Linked DNA regions of Caenorhabditis elegans. The protein of the gene in region 3 purifies or fractionates together with the protein of the main gene of each other region. This does not show direct contact. Each region holds a gene or a part of one and is shown on either strand. Other genes may lie near its edges.

Evidence for each region.
Region 1: the proteins of dpy-27 (region 3) and dpy-21 purify together in Caenorhabditis elegans (affinity purification with western blotting, with the first as the bait; one study listed by BioGRID). This does not show direct contact.
Region 2: the proteins of dpy-27 (region 3) and capg-1 purify together in Caenorhabditis elegans (affinity purification with western blotting; one study listed by BioGRID). This does not show direct contact.

The regions. Positions count from the first base shown.
Region 1 is NC_003283.11:17,945,640-17,951,123, forward strand, and holds the start of dpy-21 (Lysine-specific demethylase 9), read right to left. Parts: upstream 3,555-5,484; 5' UTR 3,390-3,554; coding exon 3,366-3,389; intron 3,318-3,365; coding exon 3,267-3,317; intron 2,404-3,266; coding exon 2,309-2,403; intron 2,142-2,308; coding exon 1,992-2,141; intron 1,449-1,991; coding exon 1,381-1,448; intron 902-1,380; coding exon 1-901. UniProt on the Caenorhabditis elegans protein: Histone demethylase that specifically demethylates dimethylated 'Lys-20' of histone H4 (H4K20me2), thereby modulating the chromosome architecture. Promotes chromatin compaction by converting H4k20me2 to H4K20me1 leading to transcriptional repression.
Region 2 is NC_003279.8:7,633,813-7,642,145, reverse strand, and holds capg-1 (Condensin complex subunit capg-1), read left to right. Parts: upstream 1-2,360; 5' UTR 2,361-2,382; coding exon 2,383-2,630; intron 2,631-2,671; coding exon 2,672-2,774; intron 2,775-2,831; coding exon 2,832-3,038; intron 3,039-3,086; coding exon 3,087-3,257; intron 3,258-3,315; coding exon 3,316-3,418; intron 3,419-3,761; coding exon 3,762-3,986; intron 3,987-4,033; coding exon 4,034-4,454; intron 4,455-4,506; coding exon 4,507-4,656; intron 4,657-4,711; coding exon 4,712-5,138; intron 5,139-5,188; coding exon 5,189-5,784; intron 5,785-5,844; coding exon 5,845-6,025; intron 6,026-6,562; coding exon 6,563-6,733; intron 6,734-6,790; coding exon 6,791-7,151; intron 7,152-7,210; coding exon 7,211-7,308; 3' UTR 7,309-7,654; downstream 7,655-8,333. Other genes in the region: F26A3.1 (Lipid droplet-associated hydrolase), read left to right, coding at 379-529, 580-762, 931-1,166, 1,212-1,319, 1,367-1,550, 1,597-1,721.
Region 3 is NC_003281.10:3,812,932-3,821,574, reverse strand, and holds dpy-27 (Chromosome condensation protein dpy-27), read left to right. Parts: upstream 1-1,895; 5' UTR 1,896-1,897; coding exon 1,898-2,323; intron 2,324-2,372; coding exon 2,373-2,474; intron 2,475-2,556; coding exon 2,557-2,915; intron 2,916-3,099; coding exon 3,100-3,855; intron 3,856-3,918; coding exon 3,919-4,156; intron 4,157-4,362; coding exon 4,363-4,571; intron 4,572-4,619; coding exon 4,620-5,070; intron 5,071-5,201; coding exon 5,202-5,639; intron 5,640-5,958; coding exon 5,959-6,236; intron 6,237-6,303; coding exon 6,304-6,652; intron 6,653-6,756; coding exon 6,757-7,297; intron 7,298-7,403; coding exon 7,404-7,666; 3' UTR 7,667-7,931; downstream 7,932-8,643. UniProt on the Caenorhabditis elegans protein: Central component of the condensin I-like dosage compensation complex that associates specifically with hermaphrodite X chromosomes to reduce their gene transcription throughout development.

The DNA.
Region 1 (5,484 bases), on a different chromosome or scaffold from region 3:
CTCTTCTCCGCCTCAATCTTCTGCCTCTCCCGCTCCTCCTGATGCCTTTTCGCCTTCTTCGCCGCCTTCTCCTGTTCCTCAGTCTCCTGTTGCTTCTTTCTCTTCCTCTGCATATGCTCCAGTGAGTCCGTGGATGACGTCACTGTTGCCGGGGGGCTTGGGATTTTCTCTGGAGCCTTCGTCTTCGGCGTCAGAACCGACGAGAACGATGCATCCTGAACCATCGGTGGCGATGCTGCTGCTGATGCTGCTGATGCTCTAAGATCTGGTGGCACTGGTGGAGGTGGAAGAAGTCCGCAGAACGATGAGTTGTACGATGTCGTCGGTGGAACCGGAATCGGACGAGGTCGTGGTTGTGGTGCTGGTGGATCCTTCTTCACACTCTCCACAGTTGTCTGATGAGCTCCGTTGAGCAACTCCCGAACATCCATGTTCAGTGGCTTCTTCGCGGGTGGTGGCACTGGTGGTGGTGGATGAAGGCTAAAAGATCCATTACTCTCCACACTATTGAATCGTTCTCTCGGCACTGGGGATCTCAGCATCCCGGGTGACATCGTCGACGATAGACAAGCAACTGGTGGAAGGATCGGCGGAGGTGGGATGCCTGATCCATTCCAGCTACGGATTCCGATTGGCTCTTTGGTCCTTAGATCAGGCATCGGAGGCTTCGGAGGCGGTGGAGGTAGGCGATCGCGGTAGGCAGCCGCAGCCGCCGAGGCAGTCATCACTGGTGGTTGTGGTGGTGGAATGATGGGTGCAGGTGGTTGAGTGACATAGTTCGGACGAGGTTGATAGTACGGCGATGGATTCATGTGTGGATAGTATGGGGCGCCGTTGGACATTGATGGTGGTGGTGGATGTTGGATGTAGTAGGATGGTGTCGCCGGATGTTGGGAAGGGCCTGAAAATTGGAAGCTTCTCTTTTTTTTAGGCTTGAAGGTTCTTTTTAGGCTTTAGGTTTAGGCTTGAAAAGCCTGAAGAAATCGGATTTTTCTAAGGATTTTCAGGCTCGTTAGCTGGAAATTTTCGATTTTTCGAAATTTTTTGGTCGAATAATCCAATTTTTATGACTGTAAAGGGCTTTAAAGTTGGGAAAAATCGCAGAAATGCGAATTTTTCCAACTGATTTATGACAAAAATTGAGATTTTCGGTGGTTTTTTAGCTTAAACATGAGAAAAATGTCAATTTTTCAACTAGATTTTCGGGCTTAAGCTCAATTTCAATAGTTTTAACTAGAAAAATTCTGAAAATTTCAAATTTTTAGATGAATTGTGTCAAAATCCTCAGTTTTAGAGGCTCAATTTCAGGCCGAAAAAACCAAAAAACGCCTAGTTTTCATGCTCCAAAATCGTTAAAGTACTGCAAAAATCAATAATTACCAGGAATTCCTTGTTGTGGCATCATCATCGTCGGATACGGATACGGATATCCTGTAGAGCTGCCGTATCTGAAAACATTGGGAATTTTAGAGCTCTAAATTTGAAGACCCCCAAAAAATATTGGCTTAAAATTCAAAATTTACGTGAAATTTCAAATTTTTTATGGAAAAATTTGTGAAAATTGCGGAAGAGTGGTGCTTAAAATACTTTCAGGAAAATAATTTTTGAAAAAAAATTTTTTTTTGTTGGAATTTTTGAATTTTTGAAAATTCAAAATTTAAGTGAAATTTTGGAATTTTTTTAGAAAAAAAGTATAAAAACTGCGTAAAAGAGCTTAAAAAGCATTAGAAACACCAAAAAAGACTCTACAAAAATTAATGACCACTGTCGGGGGTCGAACCCCGGACGGGTGGGTGCCAGTCGGACCGCTAACCGACTGAGCCACTTGCTCCCCAAAGCAAAAAAAATAATTTTGAACTTTTTTCAAGTTTTCGCCTAAAATTCAAATTTTCAGTGAAAATACGAAAAAAAAATTTAAGTTTTTTCGTCAAAAAAAAAACTTTTACCAAAAAAAAATTTTTTTTCGAAATTTTAAAAAAGAAAATGCTCACGTTGGATAATAGGAATATGGAGCAACAATTGGCTGCTGCTGTTGCTGCTGTTTTACAGGCTCATCCGGCGGTGGAAGAGGCGGAGTTTTAGGCCCACGGCGTGGGCGGTATTCACTATAATCATTGTCATGGCTGCTGCTCGTGTGTCCGCTGAAAATTGGGGAATTTTTTTTCAAAATAATAATTTCCAGAGATTTTCAGCTATTTTTGGGTGAAAATTGGAATTTTCTAAAGAAAAATGTCAGAAAATAGGTCAAATTTCAGCTTCAAAAATTTAGGCCAATTTTCAGCCGAAAAACCAAAAAAAAATCGCCTACTTCTGAGGTCCTTGTGGTGCTGGAACAAACGAATCATTGCTCAGTGATGAGCTCGACGAGCACGGCCTTTCGTTGGCTTCTGTGGGTTCTCCGTCCTGTAAAAATCGATTTTTTTTTGCGGTTTTATGTCGAAAATTGGGTTTTCACTGTGTTCTCAAATACAAAAATTAACAAAATTTTCGAATTTATCGTCAAATTTCAGTTCGAATGGTAATTTTTCAACAAAAAAAAATTTTTTTTTGGGTGCACAAGTGGCTCAGTCGGTTAGGGGCCCGACTGGCACCCACACGTCCGGGGTTCGACCCCCACTGTGGCTCATAATTTTTGTAGAGTTTTTTTGGCATTTCTACATCAAAACTTCGTATTTCTATCGAGATTTCCGGTGAAACTATGTTCTTTCAAGTCCAAAAGTCGTCGATTTTTAGGCATTTTTTGCTCTAAAACTGAGAAATTACGAGAATTAGAGGTTTTCGGCCTTATAAAAACTAAAATTTGGTTTCAAATTCGAAACCTACGGAAAAATTCAGATCGAATTCTTTTTTTTTTGTTGAAAAAAACAATTTTTTTTGGTGCAAAAGTGGCTCAGTCGGTTAGTGGCCCGGCTGGCACCCAAATGTTTGGGGTTCGACCCCCAGCTGTGGTCATTATTTTTTGTAGAGTGTTTTCCGTGTTTCATCACAAAATAAATTGGGTATTTGATTAGACAATCAAGTTTTTTAGACTTTTTTGACTCCAAAACTGATAAATTTCGATAATGAGAGGTTTTCAGCATTTTCCAAACTAAAATTTGATGACACATTCGAAATCTACGCAAAATTTCAAATCGATTTCAGTTTTTTTTTCGAAATTTTTTTTTGGGTGTGCAAGTTGCTCAGTCGGTTAGGGGCCCGACTGGAACCCACACCTCCGGGGTTCGACCCCCGGAAGTGGTCAAAAAAAATTTTTTCGAGCTACTTACAGGTGTTCTCGGTCCACGCGGACGTCTCGGCTCTTCAGGAGCACCAGAGTTCTGCAAAAATCGATAATTTTTTGGGATTTTTTTTCCTTCGAAACAAACCTTATCAAAAGTGGTGCTTCTCATATTTTATATCACTTTCAGACAATTTTGTTTGGAGATTTTTTTTTTTTGATGTTCTTCTTCTTAATGTGCAATCATTCTTCCTTCAAAATTGTCGTTCAAAGTGCAAAATTGTTGTTCGGTTTTGTTTTTTTTCTGTGTTGGCGCAAATTTGGGTCTGAAATTTGGAAAATTTTTTAGAGTAAATCGGAGAAGAAATGCGGAAAATCTAGGAAAATTTGAGAAAAAATAGGGATTTTTCGGTGAAAAATAGACAAATTTGGCACAATTTCGATGAAAATCCATATAAATTGAAAGAAAACGCTGGTAGCACAACTTTAACGTATTAAAATTTCCGGCCAAAAAGCTATTGCTTGCAGGAATATTCAGGAGAATCAGAATTAAAATAGATTCGAGATACATTCCATTTTAATTAAGCCTATGGCTATGACGAATTCGGAGTTAAACACGAATAAATTAAATTTTCCCAAAAAAAAAATCGATTTCTCAATTTAAAACATAGTTCTTAAACACTATAAAGGGCAATTTAATAAACTGAATTAATAACTATAGAGTTAATTAAATCATGCTCGTTATAACTTTTGATTAAAAGGATTTCTGATTTTCGTAATTTAACTAATGGGGTTATTCAAGTAATGTTGTAAAAAAATTATTAAAATACATGTTTTTATGTATTTTAATTAAGCAGCTGTGATGTCATTTTTCTACACTTTTTCAATTTTCCGCGACACTACTCGAATAATCCCATAAGCTATAATGGAGCACTTGTTTTATTCATGAAAATCTTAACTTATTGAGTTAAAAACATTATTTATGAACGCAAATTATTTTAATAACTTATTAATAATACGTCAAAGGTGAAATTAAACAAGGTAAGTTCATAAATAATAGCTATATTCGGATTTCTATATTCTATTGTTAATTTAGTTATAGTCTAATCAGAAGTAATAAGGACGGAATGCGGAAATCGCAACAAAAAAAAAAGGTTTACGAGAATTTGTGTTCTATAAACAATACGAGCATTCGGAGAGAAATATGACACTTTTTCGAAATATGCTAGGAAATTATATTTCAATATATTTAAAAGTCCTCTATAATAATAATTATTATTGATTTAATTTAATTGTACTCTATTATCAAAATATATAAACTGACATGTGAAACGTGGCTTATTTTTTATTTTTCCTTTCGTTGAAATTTTAATTTATTAGTTCATTTTAAAAAAATGGGAGGAGCTCAAATAAAAAACAAAGCAAAAAAAATAAGCCACGTTTCACATGTCAGTTTATATATTTTTGATAATAACGAAGAATTTAAATTAAATTATTAAACGTACTCATTATTAACGCACCAACTTTAAAAAGGTGGTGTAATTATATTTTTACTACGTCAAAAGTGAAGAAGCTTAATTTTTTTCTATACTAGTGTTAATTATAATAATTTCTTAATTCTAAGCTCAAAAATAATAGTTACATTCGAAATTCTTCCCAAACTATAATTTCGGTTAATCTGAGTCGATAAATGAAAAAAAAAATCGTTTAATTAAGTTACTAACGAGAATTTAAAATATTTCGCAAACTTTGCAAATTTTCTTCAAGAAAATCTGAAAAATATAGAAAAGTCTATATATCGTAAATATTAACGTGATAATGAATAGTGACAGCGGAATTATTTTTTGAACAAGACGAGGCTTTCAAATTCTTATTTTTTATAAATTAAACTTATTAGCAAAGATACTTATCACGATTTGTTAGTAACTATTTAAATTAGTAAATAAAGTAATTTTACTCATTCAATGATTAAAAGTAACTAGTAAGGAAGTATTACATTTAAATCAGCTTCTATAATAAAACATTAACGATAAACTAAAAACTAATGGGGTTATTCAAGTAATTACGTCACAACTGTATTAAAATACATAAAAGCATGTATTTTAATACAGTTTGTAACATTACTTGAAATAAACTAAACCCCATAATTTATATGATTTAAAACTAAATCTCCGCTTAAAAAACATTAATTTCTACCCATTTCAAATAAAATCGGCTTTCGAAATAAATTGAAATGAATTAACCTTAGAACTTTCTAATCAAATTGT
Region 2 (8,333 bases), on a different chromosome or scaffold from region 3:
TGGATTTCTGCTTAAAAGGTGAGCATTTGTGACTAAAAACTAGTGATCTCCAATTGAAAATAGCCGTTCGAAAATTAGTGCTGCAGCCTCCAGTAATACTGCAGTCTCTAATAGTGCTGCACTCAAAAAGGGCCTGGAAATTAGTGCTGCATGCAGCACTAATAGAGAATATACGGTATCTCTGTTTCCATCTTGTTTTAACGTTTTATTTATTTTTCTGTTTGTGTTTTCTTCTCCAAACTTGAGATAAAGCCATCTTCCTCCATCGATTTTTTACAGATGTTTAAAAATAATTATTGAGGCAGGTGAAAATTTCCCAACACAATATCATTCTTTCTAACCGCATTTTTCCAGTTTTTCTTATTTATTTACATATAGATGACCTCAATTCTTCGAAAAGTGGAATGGGTTCGAGTAGCAGGGAAATGGACGAAAATGTCCGTCATGGGGTTGGATATTTCAGACGAAACGCTGAAAATTCAGAAGAAAAAGGAGAACGAGAATCGAGTGATTATTTTAATGATTCCAGGTAAATCGGGAAATTGCGCTTTTAAAAATTTAAGAAAATTTTAATTTCAGGAAATCCCGGAAACGAAGGATTCTACGCTCATTTCGGACGAGAAGTTTTGCAAAATTTGATAAAGAAAGATGAAGATGAGCAGAAAAACTTGAAAAATCAATATTTATTCTACACAGTTTCAAGTCTCAATCATGTTCGAATGCCAGATCATTTGAAAGATGATGGAGAACATCGAAATCATGGTAATAAATACAAATAAAACGAAGAACCGTTCACTCCAGCCTTTTAACTTATTTAGTTTCGCCGATTTCGCAGTATTTTTCGCCCTTTTGTTTTTTTTTCAAATACCTAACGAGACTCATGGATCCGGTGCGGAGCGCGTTTTTACGTCGATTATAATATATTTCCAGACCGAATTTCTCTGGAGGAACAAGTCAATCACAAACTATCATTTGTGAAAGAGCACCTGCCACGTGGAAAGCAACTGTACATTTTGGGGCATAGCATTGGTTCGTATATGATGTTAAGAATCATTCCTGAAGTGATAAAAGAAGGATTCCACGTGGAAAAAGCTGTTGGACTGTTTCCAACGATAGTTCATATGGCAAACTCACCAAATGGGAAACGATTACATGGAACTTTAGCTGTAAATTCAATTTCTTTATTTTAATTTTTAATTGTAAACTTTCAGACATTGAACCATCATGATTGGCTCACAAAAACGATTTGCTGGTGGGTGGATTACCTGCCAAACTCGATCAAAAAATTTCTTGTTGGATTGAACCTGAGACATCCTAATGTAAATTTTTTTTTGAATGTCAAGCAACAAAAAACATAATTTTTCAGACTCCCCCAGAGATCGTCGATGCGGCAGTTGAGCTTGTCCATATGGATGTGTTCAGAAATATAGTTCACATGTCAAACGATGAACTTGATATCGTTTTAGACCTAGATGAGCGTCTTTTGGAAAAACAAGACGTGGTTCATTTCTATTATGGCCTCAAGGATGGATGGTGTCCAGTGCAGCATGGTATTGACCTTGAAAACGTTGTGTAGATTGAAAATAAAATTTATAGGATACTCCATGCGGGACAGACTTGGTGAGGAGCAGGTCACATTGGACGAAGACAATTGTGAACACGCTTTTGTTATTTCTGAAGGAGACATTATGGCGAGAAATGTTATAAAATATTTCGATTGATCAGTTGCTCCGAGTTTTCCGTACTTCAACCTGTGATTGCATTACCTAGAATTTTATCTTTTAATAAATATAAAAATATTTGCACATTTTATTGTTTTTCCTTTTCTATGTGTTTGTTTCTAACACCTGTTAATATTTCTTCAATTGATTAATTGATTTTATTTAAGTATTTAACAGGAGCTCTAGTTATTACTGCCAGGATTAAGTGGTGACGAAACAAACTTTATTGCTCTCTACTGAATTCTAGTCTACTTAGGCTTAGTAAACATTAAAAAACCCCTTTTCAATTCCGAAAGTTCCGTTTTTAAATAAAAAATAAATAAAACGGCGCGAAAGCATGTGCGCTCTAATGCAAATTTGAAATCGAAGAGAGCGAAACAGCAGATTGGCGTGCTCTAGTCGTTTCAGTCATTACCTCGTTCTTTTGTTTCTTTGGAAACTGTTTTATACACGAGTCTTTAAATGTTTAAAAAGATATTTTGTAATTTTCCATTTTTGGGACATATACAGATCATTTGTCGCCCCGGTATTTTCACTATCAGTGGAAATGCAGAGAATAACAAGATATTTTAACAATTCGACATGTGTTATTCTTTTTCTGAATGTCTATCTTTTTGTTAATTCATTTCAATTTTCAAATTTTCAGTAACCCACCCCTCTCATGCCACCGAAGAAGCGAATTCGCGGGCCGAAGTTGCCAGCACTTCGTGAGGAAAAATCAACTGGTACAGATGTGGCTTCAGATGAATCATTCAACGAAAGTGCTGATTTTTTGAATAATGAAGAATTAAACAATGATCAAAACGATGCGGAAAATACAGTTTTGAGCGAAGGTGTATCCACTCTTAGAATCAATGAAAACATGACAAAAGAGGATCGAGCTTGTATTTCTGCAGCACTTTTCATAAAGTAAGTATCAAAATGAAAAAAAAAACTAAAGTATTTTATAGAAAAAGAGTCGTAGAATCAATTCGAACAGTTTTTCAATCTCGTGATGATATTAATGATGAAATACATACCAGTTCGCGGAAACTGATTGCAGCATTTAAAAAGGTTAATTTATTTTAAAAATCGAAATAAAAATAATTTTAAAAATTATCCAATTTTCAGGCTGATCAGAATCGTAAGAAAAAGGTCGATTTAATGAAAGTTTTCCTTGATGAAATAGATGTCCGACTTTCAATGATTATCGAAGAGGTGACTGTTCCTGAGCATCGGGCTCGTGTCTTTAAATTAATCGCAGTGACAATAACTGAAATTCAAGCTTTCAAGCTTCCATCGGATCTCCTCGATTTTATTATCAATTTTATTAACACTGTGAGTATTCAATTTAATAAAAATCCGCATAATAAAACTTATTTTCAGTGGGGACATAGTGATAATGTTGCTGCGAGAATTAACACGACCTGCTTCATCAGTTATATATTCGAGACAGGGAAACGATATTTAACAACTGAGGGTGAATATTCTGGATTTGAAGTCAAGATTGCAGCTAAAATGTTTTTACAATTGAAGAGAGCACTGCTTGACAAGGAGGTTTGTTTCATTCAAAAGTTGATTCAATTCTGAAAAGCTGAAATTGAACTTTTTTCAGCAAACCGCCAGAGTTCCAGCTATTCGAGGCCTAGGATTCTTGCAAGAAATACCAATTCCATCGAATTGGCCAGTAGATGCTATGAAACATTCACCAAGAGAACGTAAGTTTTCAAACTTTTATAAAGGCGCACTAAATGAAGCAGCCGTAGAATTCAAAATTAAACTACCATATATTTTTTGGATCAAAGCACAAAAAAATTTATGGTAGTTTAATTTTGAATTTTGCGGCTGCTTCATTGTTTTTTCCTTGCATTTTACTGTTCAAAGTTGTTGAAAATCAGTTTTTTAATCCTTTTCACAGGAAAAACAAACATTTTAAATGAAAAATTCATACGTATTTTGAAACTTGGCCCATATAAAGAAATCCGTGCGCCTAGCATGCCAAGGTGTTGTGAAATTACTATACAATACCAGCGTTTGTTCTTTTTAAATTACAAATTTCAGTTCTTCTCCGTTCCTGTAGAGACACAGCATGGGAATGCCGACTTGTTGCAGTTCAATCAATGGTACCATTAGAAACAGATGTTAGACTACTTTCAGACATTGTCTATTATGACAAGTGTCTCAATGTTCGTGTCGCAGCACTTGAACAGTTTTCAAACCTCAGGCCAAACAAACATGTTCGCGAAAAAATTGAAATGCTTGATTTATGCCTGAAAGACCATGAAGGTTTGTTTGTAATTTATGACTAATGATATTAAATTGTAATTTTCCAGTAAATATTCGAGATGCGGCAAAGGAAGTTCTGAAGAATTGGGTTCGTAATTTGTCAACGAGATGGAGCGAAAGTCAAAAGAGCAAAGATTCCAATGATGTTGTCATTTTGAATTCTAATTCTGAATCCACAACAGGAGAAGAGAATAAAATGAAAGGATATATTCTTGCGGCCCAAGCACTTACATTGCTATGGCTAACGGGTGCTCTTGAAACATTGGAAGGTCACTCAAACTTGAGACGATTGATAACTCATACACTTGATGTTATTCGTCAAATGTACGTCTGTCAAGCGGATCCGATTAACACATTCGCAGAGGTTTTAATTAGCGATTTGAGAGAAAAAATGAAGTCAAGTGCGGTGCCGATTATTACTAAAAGTACTGTTGGATCAATTTTAGATGACAGCGAGCTTGCTGATACGTGAGTTTCTTGCTGGATTCATGGTTTTTTGCAGCAAGATTATCATTTTCAGACAAGATCCAAGCACCAATCGAGCCATGATCTTCTTTTGGAGATGTCTTGTTGATTATATTTCCGATAGAAAACGGAATGATGCTGATAAGATAAACGCCATGTCACGTTTCGTCAGTCCATTGCGCACTATGGTAGAGCATGTGGAAAAGTATGATTTTCTTACTATTTGTTTTATAAGAGTAACAATTAATTTTATTTTTCAGAATTCTCGTTCGAGTCAAGAATCTGGATGTTTATCCGAACATTAGCCAAAGAGCAGACTACGAGGATCACACTTTCGTTCTGCAAATGTCAATTGTTGAGAATATAATATGTGTGATGAGACATGCACCAACAGATCAACCTGGAGTTGATGCATACAAGCAAATGTTAATTTCAATGTTGATGAATGTGTTCTATCAGAAAAAAGTGATTGATCTCATCGTTCAAGAACTCGCACAATTTTACAAAGAAGATCCGAATGCACTGTTCACATTGTTTAATGATAGAATTGAAGAAATGAGATCGAAATATAAAAGTGGACAGTTTCCAGTTATTGAAAATAGTGTACCCGTTGGAGAGACAAAGGTTCGAAAAGATTTAGAAGAGGAAACACGCAAAACCGGCCGACGAACAATTTCAGACAAAGATGTAAGATTTTATATAGATTATTTAATTTTCAAAATTTGAAAATGTTTCAGGGAATCGCAGTTATTGATCTCTACGAGTTGAAAGTATTGAATGCTTTATTGAAAACTGGAATTTTACTTGGATGGAGTACAACCTATCAGAATAGATACAACAACAAGCTTCGCGAGGGTATTTCATCGAAAGATTTGAGTACTCGTGTTCTCTGTACTGAATGTATTGGTATTGGTGCAATCTATGATTATGATCAAGCAGAAAATACTCTTCGTGAAATGATGAAGAGCTTTAACACCCAAGATGAACCAGTTCAGTGTTCATTAATTGCTGCGCTCACTGATATTCAAATTGAGCATGGCGATCAAGTTGACGCTCTGTTCAGCTGGAATTCAAAGCAACCCAATTTTGCAGTATTTCTATCGGATATTGTTGTCAATGCACATGTTTCAGGAGAATGTGAAACCATGTTAAGAGCAGTTGAAGCAATTTCAAGACTCTTCTTGAATACAAAAATTGACCCGAATCAACAAAAATGGCAACGTACAATGGTTACACTTATGACTCGAGCTTCATACGCGATCACTAATCGCTTCTCCGCTAAAGTTCGCAGTACGATCATTGTGATGCTCAAATTCTTCTGCTCTATCAACAAGTAAGCTTGGCTTCTCATTTCCTGGGAAACTGATGAAAAAAATTAAAAAGTTATTTTCAGAAACAATCAACTTCTTCTCATTAAATCATTCCACAATTTCTTCGATATGTGGGCCAACTCTACGACACCCGAACGGTTGACTGAAAATCGCCATGAAATGGTTACAAAGCTTAAAAGATGTGCAGCCACTTTTGTTGCATTGACTCGTCATTCCACGCTTCCATTGGAAGAACAGAAGAAGGTATGCCGATCAGAGTTGAATCCGATAATTTATTTTTAGTGCGAAAAATAAGCGAAAATCTCGCAAGTCTAAAACTTTTTTGTTGAAAATTGAAAGGATTGTGCACAAAAAAATTTCGAATATTTTTCCTCCTGCCTTTTTTCAAAGTTTTAAGTTTTAAACAGTTTTTTTGGAGCAAAAATATATTTTCTAATCCAGAAAATACATTTTTTAAAGAAAACAATTTAAAAAAAAAACGACATCACTGTGCGCCGCGTCCAAAACACCAAAAAATCCCGAAATTTTTTCCGTCAGTTTTCAGTGCAATTTTCAAAAAAAAAATCAAATTTGGGGATTTTTTTGCGTTTTGGACACGGAATCACAATTCCTAGTGCCATTTTTCGAAAAAAAAGGTGTAAACTTTTACAATTGTATGAGGTTTTTAGTTAACGACAGGTTAACGACAAAAAATCGATTTTAAAAAACTCGAAAAAAACGAAAACCTAAAAATTTTCAGTTGTGCTACCGATAAATAGTTATGAATGATTTAATTTTCAGTGTAAACCAACACACGTCGACCTTGTGGATGACATATTTCACGAAATGGCTGGAGCTCCTGATTCAACATCTGTCGATTATTATATTTGTGCTCTTAACTTCGTGGAATATCAGAGTCTCAGTAGATCAGCTCTCACAAAAATTCATGGAGATTTAGAATCGTATATATTTGTAAGTATATACCAAATAATTATAAATTATTCTAATTTGAAAACATTCAATTTTTAGCTCCACGAATTAGACGGTGACAAGCATCGATACAACGAACTTCGAAAGGCTCATAGAAAGATAGCGAAAATTCTCGGATTGAACGAAGATGAAATTGAAGAAGTGCCAAGCAAAACTGACTTAAGAAAAGAAGCAGCGCCGTCCAAAACCAACAAAAGAAATGCGAACTTGATCAGCACGGATATCGCAGTTGATAATGATGTGAATATGGAAGAAGATGATAAGCCTGGCCCATCAAGACCCGCTACTGTTAGAAAACCGAGAGCTCCACGAGCAACTCCAGCGTCTGCCACGAAAAAGAAACCTTTAGTTGAAGAGGATGCGTTGGAGATTTTGAAAAGTCCACCCAGAAATACTAAAAGTGAGTTTGAACAGATCGCTTCAGTATTTGGTTTTTCATAACGGACTGAATATTTTCAGAACCACCATCCCGTCCAACTACAGCTACCCGTCCAACTGCAGTTGCAGCTCGCACAGCACCTCCAAGAAGTGCACGTAAACTGAGAAGTGAAAAATGAGAAATTAATAATTTAAATTGACTTGTGCTTTTCGATCTCGTTATTTATTACCACTTACATTTTAACCTTTTTTTCCTCGAACACGTTTCCCAATTTTTATGAATTTAAATAACTTTACCTTTTCCGCCATATTTCTTAATTCTCTAATTTCATTTCCTAGAAATTATTTATTCGACTATACAAACCACCCAACAATAATGCAAAATTCTCCACTTGGTCTCTTCATATTCATCATCATTATTACCCTACATGCAACTAAGGCATTCGATGTAAAGTTTTCTTTTGTAATTCGTTAACTTCCACAGAAAATTCTTAATTCTATCAAATAAATTCGTAGATTTCAATCGAACACCCTTCTGGACATGGCACTTACTATCGATTCTTGTTCATTTACGCATCAATCTCGGGGCTGATGATGGTTGTTTTAGTAATTTCGGCGATTATCTCGATGTGCAGAAGATACAAATTGGTGGCTAGTCAAGAGGATGAGGTAAAACATTAAAAATTGATTTTTTCCAGATATAAATATATTTACAGATTTCGGAGCTCCAGTGATGAGCATGTAAATTTAACTTTCTACTGAAAACTCTTAATTTTTCGAATAAATATCAATACGTTAAAAAATGAATTTTCGCTGCGAGACCCGTTGTGACAAACTGGTGCACCTTTAATACCTGTTTCAAGTACAATCGGAAAGTTTATAATAATTTATTATTATTTATGATTCTAATAGAAATTTTGGTGAAAATATGAAAAAAAAAGTGAGAAGCTTACACGTGTGATCAATACCACGCGGGGATCGGGGATGGAGGGGAAAAGATATGGAAATTTCTAGTGAAAATAATATCTAAATGGGCACAAAATTGAGTTACAGGGAGCAAATGTGTGGGGGAAGGCACTTTTGAGAAGAGGAATTTTTTTTGGGAAAAACATTTGAAACAAAAAAAACTGAAAAATATAGGAAAATCATGTACAAAATATGAAAAAAAAAACGTATCACAGAGTGGAGAATCAGAGAAGTTTTG
Region 3 (8,643 bases):
TCTAATCATTTCCGGCAAATCTGATATCCGGCAAACGGAAAACCGGAAAATTGCCGAAAATGAAAATATCCGGAAAATCGGAAAACCGCCATTTTGTCGGAATTGAAAATTTCGTTTTACATCCAAATCCGTTTTACATCAAATTATACCCCTGTTTCTTCTTCTACAGTTCCCCTCCATTTTTTCGATTGCAGACTTTCTAGAAGTTTACATGGTTTGTGACTCTGTAATATGCTCATCTGAACCGTATGTTGGCAGATGTTCTTGCTCACAAGACCATCCGTTGTTTGATCTCTCATTTCCCACCATTAGAAGACCCGTTGTTGGCTGCAACATCAAAAACGAAATCCTCAATTACACGCAACTAACTGCTCAAATTATAAGCTTATCTATCATCTCAACAGAGGAGATCAGCTCATATTCTTCTCTCACACACCTCTTCTACCCATCACAAGATGGAGTCGTGCCAGCCCGTACCAGTGTGCTTGTTACCTAGGCGACCTGAGAAGTACAAAATAATCATCCGTCTCTTGTTTCTCACACCTTGTTAAAACTAGTCAGTTTTATACTTTTGTCTTCTGACTTCAATTCTCTTCTATTCTCTTCTTCATTAAGGATGCCCGGATCAACTGGTGCAATGGATTTGACGGAGCAAGACACGGGTAATCGCAGACAGTAATGCCTATCAGGACTTTAACTACTTGTTCTATTATAGACGAAGTTCAATAGAGATCGTACAGACACATAAATTGACAAAATTTTTGGCTCATTTCCTTCATGCTTCCATCTGGATTCACATACATATCTAATATAAAATTTCAAGTTTCACTCATCGTGTTAAACTACTTCTTATCAATAAAATCTAGTGATTTTTTTTCAATATTATACATATAAAAACCTCTCGGTTTTTTGGGGACCTCTTCAGCTGAAAACTCGTATACTTTTCCCAAAGCGTGATCGTTGATCGACTATCTGTAGCATATCGATTTGTACATCTAGTAATGGGAAACGTTTGCCAAATTTTCAAATAATTAGAATCTTTATCTCTCCAGCTCCTTAGTCTGGTACACCCAACCTTCTTCGCAACAATATTCCGCTCATCACCCACCCACCCATTGCTATGGATTCTCTCCGTCTCTTATTCCACTATTCTTTCTCTCACCCGAATCGTCTTGACCGCAGTCGGAGTCTGTCATTTCTCTCAGTCTCCACGTTCTCCATGCTCTTTTCCACTTTCACCTTCGTTCTCTTTCGTCGTCTGCCTCTAACCCCACACTCGGTCAGCAGTAGTAACAGCTCGCACACACAGACACAGACATACGCTTGCGCGCGCGCAATGAAATGGGTGTGTGCTCGTGTGTGACCGTTTCTTAACTTTTTTTTTGAATTTGACAAATAAATTAATTAGCGCAGCTTTCATAATCTTAAATCTTAAAAAAATTAACAAACTTATATATAGTTTCCAATGTTATCTGTGCCCTGATTTTCCTAAAGTCCGGAAAAAAAATTCGTTTGAATTATCGATTTGAATTTTTCCCCAACATTAAAAATTTAGTTTTCAATATTTGAGGTGAAATCATACTGATAACTATATAATATACTATAACATTAATAAATTTCTAGATGACTTTTTTCAATGTTATCAATTTGTAAACTGTGTGATTCAATTTTAAATATGAAATATATATTTCAAAATTTTTTGATTAGGTAATGTTGGCAATTGGCATTCAAAGAAATTTTGTCAGTTGATAATTACCAAAAAAATTTGATTGGAAGGGGTCGAAAGTTTGCCAGTTGTCAAAACATTTCCAAAGCTTTGCCTTTTTGGCAAAATTATGCACCTCTTACTCTCCCTCTCCCTTTTAATATTTATCAAAATTAATTCCTTTTTTCAGGTATGCAGCCGTTTAAAAGACGGGCGCTAACCTCGGACGATGATAGACCATATGCTGACACCGACTCGATGCCTGAAGTCGATCTCGACGTGGATCGCCGACGACAGTACATGGAACAGCTCAACATATTCGATGATGTTAGTTCAGGCGCGTATATGTTGGAACTTGAAGCGGCTGAAAACGGTGTGAAATATGATGAAAAAGAGGATCTTTTGAATGTTCAAATTCCCCCAAAATATGAAGATCAGATCTCGGATCCGGATGGAAATCGAATGATAATTCTGAATATCTACGTTGAGAACTTTAAAAGTTATGCTGGAAAACATATTCTCGGACCGTTTCACAAGAACTTGACAATGATCCTGGGACCAAATGGAAGTGGAAAGTCAAACGTTATTGATGCATTGCTATTCGTGTTTGGATTTAAAGTGAGTTTTTTAAATTGAAATTTTTATTCCACAATATACATTGTTTCAGGCTGGAAAAATTCGTACCAAGAAGCTATCAGCATTGATCAATTCAGGAGGGAACTACGAATCATGTTCAGTAACAATTATGTTCCAGATGGTGAAGGATATGGTAAGTAGGTTATTAAAGCGGGCCTGAGATCCACACGATTGAAAACAAACTAATAACTATCAATATCAAAATTAATTTTCAGCCTGTCGAAAATTACGATAAATATGAAGTGTTAACAGATAATTGCGTCTGCATCACCCGCACAATAAATCGTGAAAACAATTCAAAATATCGTATTGATGACAAAGATGCATCGCAAAAAGACGTCCAGGAGCTTCTCCTACGTGCTGGAATTGATATGACCCATAATCGATTCCTGATTCTGCAAGGAGAAGTTGAAGCGATTGCACTAATGAAGCCAACATCCAAAAATCCGAATGAAGAAGGAATGCTTGAATATATTGAGGATATTGTTGGAACCAATCGTTTTGTCGCACCAATTTCCAAACTAATGCATCGGGTTTCTCTATTGGAGCACAAAAGTTCACAATATGGAGCCTCGTAAGTTCATTTTAATATTATTAAATACCACAAATTTTGGCACGGATGTACCACATAAAAATATAAAGCATGGAAATTCAAATTGAACTAGGAAAAAACAAAAAAACTTTGCGGTTTCAACTTGAAATATATTAATTTTCTGAAACTTAAAAAAATTTCAAATTAAAATTCTTTCCATTTCCAGTGTTCGCCGCCACGAGGGACACCTAAAAGTCTTTGAAAAGGCAATGGTTATCGGGATGGCCTACCTGAATACCTTCAATAATCTCAACTACCTTCGTGGAATCCGTGTCAAGCACAATTTGTGCCGTTATGCTGAAACAATGAGGGACGCCAAAATGAGTCTTGTCACTCGAACAGGAGAACTCGAAGAGAACAAGGATATCATGCTTGAGGCAAAGGATGAAGTTCGGAAGAAGGAGACTCACGAGAGAAGCCTTAATAGTATTGTCACTGAGCTGGAGAATAAAAGAATCGATTGGCAATCGAAGAAGAATGACTGGCATGCACGTGATGCTAAGAGAAAGCAGGGGCTCAAGTCGTGTACTCAGGACCTTGGGAAGCTCATGAAGGAGCGGGATGAAGCTCGTCGGGAGAAGTTTGAAATTGAGACGGCTCCAGAGAATGCGAGAATCTCTAAGCAAAACATGCAACTCGAATGGGATCAGCTCAAGGAGCAGGAGAATGTGTGTCAGCGGACAGCTACAGAGAATCTCATCAAGTATGATCAGAAGTCTAGTGCCGACAGAGCGAAGCATGATGATCTGGAGAAAAAACTCTCAGATGAGCTTCTGCAATCGATGCGAGCAAAAGCAGAATTGGACGTTTCTGAATCAGAACTTAAGGATATGACGATAATGATGGAGCAGGGACAGAAGAGAGTTGATGAGCTTAAAGGGACATTGCAAACAATGATGGCTGAGAACATTAGAGATAATACGTAAGTTTTATTTTATTTTATTTTATTTTAACCAGCTTTTAAAAATTCCCCATATCCTTCCAGTGAGCTAAACGCCGTCACAACTGAGCTGCAAGATAGAAAGCTGAAGTTTGACAAAGCTGTCGAGAAGCTTCCGCATTTGAAGTCTACCGAACAACTTTTGAGAAGCAAGAAGTATGAGCTGGATCAAGAAGTGATTGAAGCATCGAACACCCAGGAAGTTACGTACCGTCATCAGGCAACCGCAAAGCTTCATGAACTGAAAGAGGCTGGATTATTTCCGGGCTTCAAAGGTCGCTTGGTAAGTTATTCGATTGGGAGTGAGTACCTGCTTTGAAATTTGATTAGCTGTGAGCATCCTGGGGTAATCTGATGTTCCATGTAAGTATGATTTTTCTGGGAGAAATACATTTTAAATAGGATCTTTCAAATTCAGAAGCCACACGTTTAGTCTGATTTCGAATTGATTTTTTTTCGAGGACCAATTTAAAATTAATTGTCTTACAGGGAGATTTGGCAAGTATCCCAATCAAGTTCGACACCGCAATTTCAACAGTGTTCTTTGCACAATTGGATTACCACGTTGTGCAAACTAGCGATGAATGTAGAATCGGAATTGGCTTCTGCCACGAGTACAAACTTCCTCGTACGACGTTTGTCTTCTTGGATCACTTGAAAGATACTGATACTAGCGGAATGGATTCTACAATGAAATTGTTGGTAGTTGCCTTTAGTTGCCAAATCTAATTAATTCTTATTTTCAGCCCAGCCGAACGACTTTTCGATAAGATTCACTGTGTAAACCCTGAGATTCGCCGCGAATTCTATTTCTTGATCCATGACATTCTGGTTGTTGACAGTCTTGAAGAAGCAACTCGAATTGATAAGAAGTATCCTGGAAGGCATCGTTATTGCACACTGAATGGCTCAATTTTGAACCGAAGTGGAGCATTGACTGGTGGTGGAAAACCGACGACTGGTCGTATTCGAAATGATAATAATCCAAACATGAGTGGAGTCAAAAAAGTTGATTTGAGCAAGCTAAGAGCCGCACAGGAGAAGCACAATCACGCACTGGAAGCTCATTTGAAGTTGCAGTTAAAGCAAGAAGAGATCCGAGCCGACAATGGTCCGATTATCAAACAGCTCGAGATTCGTAAGCGTGAATTGATTATGTCCACCAAGGAGCAGAAAACACGGATTGCCGAGTTAAAGGTGATTTATTTTTGCGTCTCTTACTGAAACACAGAAATTTTCGCTGTTCCGATTTTCTTGAAAATGGATATATCGAAAAAAAAACTAGATTTTATTCAAAATTTCCATTCTAATTTTTTAATTATTTCCAGAGCTCAATCGCAGCACATGAGCGCCGTATGGTTAACTATAGAGAAGTGACCGTTGAGGATTTGGACGAGAAGAGAGCTCAAATTGCAGATCTGAAACGTCAAGTGGAGGAGAGCCAAAAGTCTTCAGCAAAAATCAAGCAGCAAATTGAGCAATACAAACGGAAAATGGACCGAATGTTTATGGAGTTGGTCCAAAAAAATAAGGACTCAATTGAGCAGGCGAAGGATCGAATGGGACAGCTGGAGCAGGACATTGCACGACAAACTGCAATTATTGAGAACAATCCATCACATTTGGAGCAGGCCGAGAAGAAGCTTAGTGAGCTGGAGCATATGTGTCTGGAGAAACGTAGCGAGGCAGATGCATTGGCTCAATTGGAAGTTGGAGAGGATGTAAAGGGAATTGATATTATCAATGCGCAATTGCAAACTTCAACGGTATGTTTAATTTCTATAGGACTAGGATTCTGGTTAGGCTTATGTTTAGGCTTCGACTTCAGTTCAAGCTTAGGTCCAGGCTTAGGTTCTGGCTTGAGCTCCAACTTAGGCTTTTTTTAGGCTTAGGCTTTAGCTTGGTGTTTCCAACCTTGCTCCCTTAGTTCTAGTAAACATTTTCGATTTTTTTTCAAAATTTTAAACCACTATTCAAACAATTTTTGCGCTTTTTTAAGCAGTCTCCTTATGAAGTTCGCCATTTTCGAGCTATTCAGAATTTACCAATTCAAGCTTTACTATTTTCTAATTTTTAATCTTCCAGGCCAGCATTGATGCACAAAGAGCCAGGTACACTGAAGCGGTTGCGGCACGCCGAGAAGCAGATGCAGCCTATCAAACCACAGTTGACAACTACAACATGGTCAAACAGACTTATGATGAACTGATGAGAATCATTGATGACTTGGAAAACAAGACAATGGCGGATAATGCAGAACTTGATATTATTGAATCTGCATGGATGCAACCGGAAAAGCTCTATCCACCTGGCAAATTTGTCAGATATAATGATCCAGATATTGCGGCCAAAATGACTGATGGGTACGTTTCAGAAGCTTTGGGAGATTTTCCATGTGCAAATTCAAATTTATAATCACTGAGTTTTTAGGCACGTTGTACTCCCATATGAATGCATCAGTATGATCGAACCTCACCGTGAAGCTTACGAAGAGCACGAAGCGAGAATGCTTGAGGACGATGTTTTCGAGGACACTGCTAACAAGATTTGCAAGCTGGAAAAAGATGTTGACAAGTTCCGGCGGGAATTTGATAATAAAGGTGTTCGGGATTATGCGATGATTGTGTCGCTTCTCATGAACGAGGTGACGTCAGCGAAGAAGTTTAGCGATAAGCTGAAGGCTCATCGTGAGAAGCTCAACGAGTTGAGAATGGCGAGATTCAACGAGTTCAGCGAGGCGCTCGCATTCTTGGGTACTACTACCCAAATGCTTTACCAGGTGAGTAAGGGGTACTTGCCTGCTACCAGGCTGACAGGAAGCATTTTTTCTGTCAGACCCATTGCTTTAAATGAGATTAAAAGAAACAAGTTATTTGCTTACAGCTTATCACCAATGGCGGAGATGCTAGTTTGAAGTTTGTGGAAGAAGGAAAATCTACCGATCCCTTCGATGGTGGAATAAAGTTCAGTGTACGTCCCGCCAAGAAATCCTGGAAGCTCATCGAGAATCTATCTGGCGGAGAGAAGACTCTGGCCTCTTTATGCTTTGTCTTTGCAATGCACCACTACCGTCCAACACCCCTCTACGTGATGGATGAAATCGATGCGGCACTGGACTTGAACAATGTCAGCCTGATTGCAAACTATATCAAGCATTCCGAGCGAACACGGAACGCTCAATTTATCATAATTTCGCTTCGAAATCAAATGTTCGAGGTCGGAAATCGCTTGCTTGGTATCTATAAAATCGATGGAAAAACTTATAACATTATGGTGGATCCGATCGCGGTGGAGATCAAGAATCGTCCGATTTTGAAGATTTTCGAGGAGGAGATCAAACGGCGCGAGAAGCTACGACGTGCCGAGATTGAACCGGAAATTGATTTGAGTAATGGGCTCAGCAATGTCGTTATTGCACCAAAACGTAAGTAATAATTAGTGACATATCAACTGCACTTTAATTGTAAAATACCAAATCAAAGTAGCAACCAGTCCAACTTAAACCCATCTCAACAAATACCAATTTTCAGGTAAACAACGCCGGCTGGAAATGCTGAAACTCTCGGACTTTGGTCTCGATGATGACAGTGATCTTCCTGAATTTAATAGATTCCCACCCGCAACTCGTCGTGAATTAAGTGTTGAGGATTCAGATGAAGACGATGAGCCAGTAAGAAGACGTCCGCGTCGTCAAGTTGAAGAGGAAGATGAAGAGGATGAATTGATCGAAGAAGCAACTCCATCTCCACCACCAATTGTCGTTCAACGCCGTGTGCGAAGAAGCAGACATTAAATTGAAGTAATATATTTTAAACTAAATTTTGAAAAAAAAAAGAAAACTTTGTGAAAAATCCAAAAAATGAGACCAACTTTCTTTCAAGCTTGTATTTTTTAATATTCGTCTAGCTTAATTTTTCCTTGTGATTTTAATTATTTCCCTTTTTAATATATTTCCATTTTGTTGTATATTTTGTGAAACCCCTATATCTTTGCATCACGTACTGTCCAATCTATCTCATTTTCTTAATTCGCTGACAAGGTAAATTTTCGATTCACGATTCACAAAAATAATTATTTCATTTTTATTTTAGAACTACATTGCAAAGTTTTTCCTAAAAAAAATAATGCCATCAAAAAATAATTTCCTAACAAAGAAAATTTCCTAAAATTTCGAAAGCTGCTAAAAATTTGACTAAAAATTTTGGACAATCTGTTAAAAAACAGGATCTTTTATTTTGATATATACATAGTTATTTTAATCCTTTTTGGTAGACCTTAACAAATTTTTTGAAAATATTGTTAGTTGGGAAATTTGTTAAAACCACTCAAATGTTTGTTAAAAAAACCATGTATAATATTGCAACTTATATATTTTTACAAAAAAAATTTTGAAAATTTTTATATGCAATGTGAATATGCGGTTTCAAAAATGCTCGAAATTTTGTAAAAAAATCCAAAAGTTCGGAAAATTTTGCAATTTACCAAAACTTTGACTAAAAGTTTTGAGATAATCTAAAAACTTTTGGAGTCGTTTTTTAGATACTTTCCCTATTTAAGTTTTTTTTTGACAAAATCCTGATCTGCGCTTTGATACTTTCCAACTTTTACAGAAAGAGTGTTTTTGTAGATATTGGGTTGCTGTTGCTTGAAAATTTGACACAGGATTGTAATAAAATTAGAAAAAAAACTTTACCTAATCTCCCTTATGCACATTCGGATATATCTATAGTCTTGTCTTGTGTTCGTCCCAAAAAAAACGAAATCGAAAAC